2 linked regions of the Drosophila melanogaster genome follow. The protein of the gene in region 2 interacts with the protein of the main gene of each other region in a biochemical or structural test. Each region holds a gene or a part of one and is shown on either strand. Other genes may lie near its edges.

What was found. The genes of interacting proteins can lie anywhere in the genome.
Region 1: the proteins of CG32767 (region 2) and Lpt form a complex in vitro, tested with the Drosophila melanogaster proteins (one study listed by BioGRID).

What each region holds. Positions count from the first base shown.
Region 1 is NT_033778.4:23,896,534-23,900,999, reverse strand, and holds the start of Lpt (lost PHDs of trr), read right to left. Parts: upstream 2,440-4,466; 5' UTR 2,331-2,439; coding exon 1,736-2,330; intron 1,677-1,735; coding exon 1,554-1,676; intron 1,490-1,553; coding exon 1,320-1,489; intron 1,257-1,319; coding exon 1,066-1,256; intron 1,009-1,065; coding exon 1-1,008. Other genes in the region: CG5339 (uncharacterized protein), read left to right, coding at 2,853-2,945, 3,001-3,285, 3,343-3,882; CG17658 (uncharacterized protein), read right to left, coding at 4,301-4,466.
Region 2 is NC_004354.4:5,080,601-5,085,066, reverse strand, and holds the start of CG32767 (uncharacterized protein), read left to right. Parts: upstream 1-2,041; 5' UTR 2,042-2,650; intron 2,651-2,827; 5' UTR 2,828-3,581; intron 3,582-3,809; 5' UTR 3,810-3,886; intron 3,887-3,951; 5' UTR 3,952-3,993; coding exon 3,994-4,466.

The sequences.
Region 1 (4,466 bases), on a different chromosome or scaffold from region 2:
TGGTCAATGGTCAGCTGGGCATTGACAGAGTCGCAGTGGAAGTGCGCCCATAGCTCGCAGTGCTCGCACTGGATGATCATCTCGCCGTTGCTGTACGAGACTTTGCAGACGGGACACGAGGATTGGCTGGTGCAGGATGGGCACTCGAGCATGTTGGAGTCCCCGAACTCGCTCTTCTCGGTGGGATTGCGACCGCATTTCTGGCACAGTGTACAGAACGAGCACTTCCAGTTGCCCGTGGGCACGGTTTCCAGCGGAGGATTCACACAGTAAATGTGATACGAAATGTCGCACTCGTCGCACAGGAGCAGGCGCGCCTCGTCGTTCTTCTTGCCACATCCCTCGCACACTGTGCAGTCCAGGCATCGCCAACCCTTCTGCAGGATGCCTCGCGAAGGCTTCACGCCGGCGCAGTACGGATGATAGCATTGGCCGCACTGTGCGCAGGTGATCATCACGGAATCGCTCTCAATGCCCAGCGAGCCGCACATTACGCAGATGTCTTGCGCTTGGATAAACTTATCCCGCGCCGAGCAGAGCAGCAGCTTTTTGTCGCTGGTCAGATCTGTTTCCATGCTGCGACTCAGGCAGCGATCGCTCGAGATGGTGGGCAGCGCAAGCTGGCGCCCCTTGCCTCGGGTGCTGCGTTTCTTGTTGATCTGCGACATCACACCCATGCGGTGTAGGACGAACTTTCCGCTTCTACCGCGAACACTCGTAAGGCACACTTTTTTCTTGCCGGTGGGTAGCTTGTGGAGCTCATCGCTCGATGGATCCATTGTGGGTTTGCCCTCCAGCGGGTCAAGTTCGATTTCCTTGAGGCTCAGTTGCTCCGACGACGAATCCATGGCGGACAGCACGATCGAGTCGATTGTCTGTTGGGATGATCCCGGGCCCGACGAATTACTCTTGCAATTCGGACACACGTAGTCGTAATCTGGGTTTTGCTCCTTCTTCTTGTGGTAGGCCGTTAAATCCGCCTCTTCGTCACACGTACTGTGCACAAATCTGAAACGAATCCATATAATAAGCAAGACTAATCAGGCAGAAGCGAGTGAAACGTACTTGTTGCACCAGCTGCACTTGACCATTTCCTTGTGCGATGCTGCCCTGTACGCTTTCTGGCAAATCGGGCAGGAAAAGCCCTTGTTCCGCTGCTGATAGCACGAATCGCAGATTGTGTAGTGGCTATGCCAGCGGGAGGAGCTGCCGCCGCCAGGAGTTCTTGAACCACAATCCGTACAGACGCGACAGCGCTAGAAGGAACATAAATACCATAAGTATTGGATAACACTTAATATCCGTCAATATCTGCTTACATTGCACTTCCAGCCATATTTGGGGATGGCTGAGATAACTGGTCGCAAGCAGGAGGCGTGGTAAGTCTTCTGGCATTGCTCACACTTAACGTACTTGGTGTCGTTCGAGTCTTGCTGCCTGCAAATCTGGCATTTTGTGCAACGGGCGCAGTTCCACCCAGAACGCGTATCTATGGAAGCATTAAACATGTAAACATGTAAACCAATGGTACGATGGTACTTGACAGTAGTTACCCGGCAAATTGGCCAGACCAATGCAGGTCGAATGAAAGTGGTCTCCGCAGGTACTACACATGATCAGCTTGGACAGATCCCCCAGCGAGGAGCAGGACAGACACTCCACATTATTGTCGCTGCCTGTAAGTCATTTGTTTCCATTAGTTTCTGTGAGAGTTTGCTGCCCAAGAATCACTTACATATCACAGGCACCTGGCTCAAATGTTCCGTGCAGAAGACCGTAAAGCTCTCGAGGATCAGAAGGCACCCAGCAGCGGCGGCACACGGCCAATGGTGCACCTGGCGGCAGTTCATCTTGCAGTTGATGGAGGCCCCGTAGCGTCCACAAAAGTTGCACTTTTGCTCCAGGAACTCCGCGAAGTGGGTGGCAAAGTACGCGCCATCTGCATCGCTTATCTGACTTTTGCGCAGCGACCACATGATGCACATGCGGTGCACGTAGACGAACCCCTCGTCAAGAAATTCGGCGGGATGCACGACGTCCGGCTGTCCAATCTTGTCCAGCTCGTAGTGACAATCGCCCGAACTAGAAGCGGCCTGCTTAGGCCCGTATAACAGCCTGGATCCGTCCTCCCTCAGCCGATCCGTCGGATATTTATCCTTGATCTCGGCGGGCGCGGGCGCCTTCAGTTGTAGAATCTCGCCCTGGCCCAAGGCACTCTTCTCGCCGAGATTGCATAAACAGCACACCTTGCCCGGAAACTTCTCCGGGAAGTACGGCAGGTCGTCGGCCACCGCCTTCTCCTCCATGCTCACAACAACGTTCGTGCTCATCGCGGATTGATGCGTTTCATTAAAATAACAAAAAATAGCCGCCGCTTATTTTGTATACATTACTCGACAGCTAAATAAAATGTCAACGTGCATCGCGCCCCAATGTTATCGAACAGGCGTCAATGTTGTCGAGAACGATGTGCGTTCGTTTGCAGAGCGAGTAGTACAATTATTAGATATAAATATAAAAGTCTTCCTTATATTACAAAGTATTTATACTTTTAAATGGCAAATCAAATATAACATCATATTTTAATTTTTTTTATGCGGCTACAAATTAATTAATTAATTTCTGAAATTATACATTATAAATAATAATACACTTACATTAGGCTGTCACGCCTACATATCGATATACCTTTACCAATCGCATTCAGCTGATCAAAGTGCAACTCTGCAATCCAGCCCTGGAAAAATACCGTACTCCAGTTCTTCAAACTGGAAAAATGATGGCACAACTAAGTTAAACACACAGAAGTAGAAAATGTAAATAAAAGCACAATTATAGACTATTCTGTTAGCATGGCTGTGTATCGTCCCCGCGGCACCCTGGCCAGGGTAATCCACGCCAAATTCCACAACGACAACTCTCTGGAGGACATAGACACTCGGAAGGTAACTCGAAATCCCGAAACAATATGATTTTTCCTAAATTCTGGATGCATTTCAGTGGTACTGCCTGAACCACGAGCTGCCGCCGAGATTCCAGTCCAAGTTCGTGCCGCTCGAGCCGGATGCCACCACCGTGAGCTGGCTGGAGCGCACCAAGGCGCTTTCGGCAAACATCTGGACCCACTTGTGGCACGCCCTGGCTCGCTCAATCCTGCAGTTCTTCATGACCCAGACGGACATCAACGGGTTCCTGAAGCGCGGCTCCATGTTCATACTGTCCGAGGAACAGTTTCGCAAGCTGCTAGTAGCAGGCGGCTTTCAGCCTGCCAGCGGTCAAGAACCTGTAAGATGAGTAAAAGCCTTTAGTCTTGACCACTACTCATCTGCCATCATATCGTAGGTCACGTTGCTGGATATCGGAGCCGGGGACGGTGAGATTTCGCTGCGCGTGGCCAACACCGTTTCCGAGCTGAGCGGAAGTGCCGGGCTGCGGGTCTTCGCCACCGAGGCCAGTTGGACCATGCGCGATCGGCTGAAGAAGCTGAACTTCAACGTAATCACCGAGATAGACGGTCTGCAGAACCTGGAATTGATTCTGTGCCTCAACGTATTGGACCGCTGCTTCGATTCATTCAAGCTGCTCGAGGACATTCACCTGGCACTAGCTCCCAATGGTCGAGCAGTTGTGGCCTTAGTACTTCCCTACATGCACTACGTGGAGACGAATACCTCGCATCTGCCGCTGCGCCCGCTGCTGGAGAACAACGGGCGACAGGCGTCGTTCGAGGAGGAGGCGGCCAGGTTTATGGAGCTGCTGGAGAACTGTGGCTACCGCGTGGAGGCATGGACCAAGGCGCCGTACTTGTGCGAGGGTGATCTCCACCAGTCGTTCTATTGGTTAATCGATTTAATTGTTGTCATTTCCAAGAAGACATTCTAGATCAAAGCTTCCACATCCTAAAAAGAACCCTTCTGAAGTTATTGTAACCGTTTTCCTCGTAGAGTTAAGTGGCTGCATTGAGAAACTGAGCATTTATACTTATTACAAATGTAGGCTATCAACTAGTTAAACAATTTATTCTTAAAGAATTACCAAAAATGTAAATGGATAAACAAACATGTTTAAATTAAAGGGCGACATTCAAAGCCGCGTTCGAAACTGAATACTGTTCTCGATATTATCAACTAATTGTAGTTATTCTACAGTCTTGGGTAGTTTTAATGCATCTAACTTGATACTTGTGGCAGTAATCAGGTAACTTAGAATATGTATTTGACGAGCAGCTGTTTAATAACAAATGTCAGTATTGTCGAAGGTATTATGTGTACTAAACTAAGCCTTATATAGTCTTTGGTAGTCATTGGCATTTTTTTTTGCTTGTGAAAATAACCTCGAGGTAGTTATTGGCATACACAATCCTCTCGGTATCTTCTGGTGCTGGATTGTGCAGTGGCAATATTTCACGATAGGGATTGCCCATTATATTGTAGGCTCTCTCGATGGCAATCTTGCTCTTCTCAGCG
Region 2 (4,466 bases):
CATCAGCTACAATGCGAATTACTTTTACATTTTTGCCAACGTCAATTGTCAAGTTATTTAATTGTTCGAATAGACTGATTCAGGTTAATTGAAAAACGGCTATAAAACGGCGGCATTTCGTGTTTCTGTGTATAAAAAACCGGTAAAAATTCAAAAACCCAGTTTCAGTGTGCCCAGACATCAAGTAAGTATTTTAGTATTTTCAGTTTTAGTTTTAGGTTTTAAATATTTGGCAATTGCACCTCCTTTCGATGTATCGATGTACCTACAAAGTATCGATAGTGACTGTTGCCAGTATCGCTTTAGTTATTCCATCTCTAAGCATCAGGCTTTGGTCACATTACCAACCTTTCATAAAAAATAAAAAACAAAACAAAAAGGCGATAAAACGCAATTAAAGCAACTGTAAAAAACATAACAAACTAAAACCACTGATAAACTAAACCAACTGCATTGCACACACCCCGCAAACAAACGAAAATGTGATGTTAAGTGTGAGTAAAAACCGATGGAAAAGCGAAAGGAGTGTGCGTGTCGAGCATGTGCGAGTGTGTGTGTGTGCGTGCGCGTGAAGTGCGAATAATGTGTGATGGAGAGAGGGCAAGAGAGCGGCGCCAGCTAAAAAATATAAACAATTAAATAAATATGTAAATTTATATATATGGATGTATGGCATGGAAGTAGTTATCCACTAGTTACGAAAAGAGAAAAACAAAAGAACTAGTTCTCTTTTCTTTGAGTGTGCGTGTGTGGTTGTGTGGGGGAGAGGATTCCAGCTGCCTTTGTGTGTGAATTTCATTTAGTTTTTTTTTATCTGCTATTATTTTGTTGTGCGGATATTTTTTAACCCTTGTTAGCCCTTTATTTTGCTGATGTTTGCGTTAGTGTGTGTGTGTGTGCTTTCAACCCCCAAAAACTTCACCACCCGTCGCCGCCCGGCGAAAAATCACTGAGCAATAAAACCACCCACTACCCACCAAATGAAAAGACCAAAAAAAAAACGAAGCGAATTATTTCCCACTGAAAATTTTTTTCTTCCAAGGTGATGATGTTTTCTTCCTCTTGCTCCTCATCTTTCCAGGAGCAGCACTCGAAAAAAGGGAGAAGCAAGATGGAGAAGGAGAGTGAGTGAGTGAGAGAGAGCACAATTCAGAAACTGTCGAAATAAAACGGCTTCTCCACCTCTCACGCCTTTTGTCGCCCCCCGCTGCGGGCCCCATCGCACAGTGGGACGCGCAGACTAGGTGTTCTAACAAATTTCGAATTTTCACGCTCCAGTGAACTCATAGGCACTAAATTAATGTTTTAAATGTAATATTAATGAGTTTGTTGTTTTATTATCACCTATTTCGCTCCACTGTGCAACGTATGACGCGCTAGCGTCCCCTCTTTCGCTCTCGCGCAATTCGACCATTTTCCATCCTTCTCGCTCACGCCGACTGCCTTTTGGCGTATTTCTTTTGTGCCTATGTATTTCCGCTTGTTAGGTCAGCTCTCCCCCTGCTCCCCCGCCCAACAACGTCCTCTTTTTGTGCTCCCTTTTTGGGCTCCAAGTTCTGGCAGTCCTTTTAGGAACAGTTGTGGCCGAGAGAATAGGGAATTCGTTAAGACGGCCTTCTTTTGAAAGTAGATGCTCGCTTGTAGTATGATCTTAAAATGCGTGTACTAAGCCCCTATTAAATTAATAATAATAATTAAATGTTGTTTTTCATTTCTTATTTAAAAATAATCTGTTTAAGGAAAAATTAATAGATGTTGAGTAAGATGTACCTGATAATACTATTTCATTGACCCCTGCTGTATATTTTGGTTTTGTGTTGTGAGTGAGAACGAAGTTGTGTGGGTGTTTAAAAAGGGTAAGAAAGGCAAAAAAAAAGGCGAAACGGAGTAGGACAAGAACCAAAAAGAAAAACGAAATAAAAGTAACGTTGTTTTGTGTGCGGGCCAACCGAAAACCAATTAACTTTTTGAATATTGCACGAAATTGCGCGCCATCGCCCGTTCGTTTACCAACACTGACCGCCGAATGCAACCCTGCGCAACACTAACTCACACACACGAGCGTAGTAAGACCCAGGGAGGCAAAAATTCACACACAAGCAAATATTTTTTTGTTATTATTGAACAGTGTGGAAGAACAGCGCGAAAGGGAAAAACGAGCTTGCGGATGTGAAAAGTAAAGCGGGTGTGTGGAAAACGGCAACAACAAAAGGCGAACGGGGGAAAGCCAAAGAAAAACTACTCGCGGGGGAGCAAAAATCGGCTGGGAAACACGGACGAAGAAGAAGAAGAATAGGAATCAGAGTAGGAGAGCAAGCAGCAGCAGAAGAAGAAGAAGCAGCGCAGCCGCTAATTGTCTCGTCGTTCGTTGTTGTTGCTGCCTTGCAAAAAAAAAAACGAAACCGAAAAAGAAATGGCAAAAAAATAACGCAAACAAATTCAATAAAACGAACTAAACAATTAGCAAGTTAATAAACGCAACATAAAACCAAAGGAACGAACAGCAGTGGCAAAAGAAAAAGGCAAAAGAAGAACAATCGAAAAGGTCAAAAAGTGTGAGCAAGGGAGAGGAGAGACTTCCCCAAAAAAAACCGAAAGAAAAATGGAGCAAAAGTGAAAAACCTGTGAATGTGTGTGTGTGTGAGAGATGGTGAGAGAGAGAGTGGGGGGAAAAGCTAAAATTAATTTTTTGTTTTTATTTCCAAGGCGCGCACTGGTGTGTGTGTGTGAGTGTGGGTGGAAAATCGGATTTCGTAAAACGCATTTAATTGTTAACAGCAGCAAAAACGTGTATAATTTACCTGATTTTTCTACATCTCACTTACAGTTAGTAATCAAATTGCACAAAATGCGAAAGAGGAGAGCAGATCAATAATAATAATAATAACAAAAAGGAAAGGAGCAAATGTAACGACTTCTGTGTGTGTGTGTGCGTGCGTGAAGCAAACAACAAAAAACAGCGCAGAAACATTTTTAACTAAAATGTGGAAAGCAAGCAAGGAAACAACAAAAGCTAAAACAACAACGACAGCCAGGAGCAGCGCAGCCAGCAGCGACGTCGACGCCAGCGTCGCCGCATGGAAAGCACAGAAAACCGCATGACAAGGAAATGGAAAATTTTTGTGCAGCCCAAAAAACCAAATGTGAACATAAAGGAAAGGCCGACAGCGAGGCGTTGAGCAAACGAAAAACAAAACAAAATACAACAAAAATACAAGAACGTGTGTGTGTGTGCGTGTGTGTGTGTTTTCCAATCGTATAATCGAAGAATAATAGTAATAATAATACGAGTCAAGGAAGAAGCGGCATTCGAAAGAGAACAGAATAAACGGAGGAAGAAACAGATGTAATAACTAAAGCAGAAGAAGAAGCCCATCAGCAAATCTATGAGAAGAAGAAGAAGGCGAAGAGGAAGCGGCAACTTGAAAAATATACAACAATTATTAATTATGGCAGCTTCGACAAACAAAATTCTGTAGAAGAGGAAACAACAGACGCCCAAAGGCAAGATTTTTAAATAGGGAGTAGTAACATAAAAGAAAACTTTGGCAGCCAAAACGACAAGAAACAAACAAAAAATTGTAAGTAACAACAAGCCCTGCTTTTTCCAAACAAAAACTAGTTCGTTTCGATGAAATTATCACTTAATCACCAAAGTTTTGTATAGTTGTTCCTCTCAGTACTGAAAGCATTTCGCTTTCATCTAGTTTTATTTAATAACCCGTACTTTAAGACATCAGAAACTCGAATGGACTTAACTTGTTTGTTAGATTTTGTGGCAGAGTTCATAATATTGTTCTATTTCTCAGGCTAACAATATATTCAACATAGCTGGAGGTTTACGCCAAACACAGGCGTCGCATCCCCAACAGCTCAAGAGAAGAACGTAAGTTATTGCCCACCAGCCATGGCCGAATGTGAGTCTAATCCAAATGTTTGTACGATTTGCAGATACAAATAAGGGAAATATACATCAATTAGTATATCGCTGCCATGGCCAGCAGCGCGACGAACGTCGACGGCGGCAGCGGGACGTCGACGGCGCTGCCATCGCTCTTCCCCGCCGTTGGCGCCGCTGCCGGTGTCAAAGATATGGACGGATTAATGGCCATTAACGATAGCGCCCTATCGCAACAGATCGAATTTATACTGCAGGATGCTCCCATGGAGCAGGACGACGATCCTCACCAGCATACGCATGTGCATCACCATCATCACTCGCAGCATCATCCTCACTCGCATTCGCATCAGCAGCAACAGCAGCAGCATCTTCAGCAGCAACAGCAGCAGCAGCAACACCATCATCCGCATCATCATCTGAAGCTGGACAACAGCAGCAACAACCACCCACCGACCGCAGCAGCAGCCGCAGCTGCCGTAGCAGTAGCAGCAACAACTGCAGCAACAGCAGCCGCAGCAACCAACAACAGCGCTTCCTTTAGCAGCAACAGCAGCAGTAGCAATAG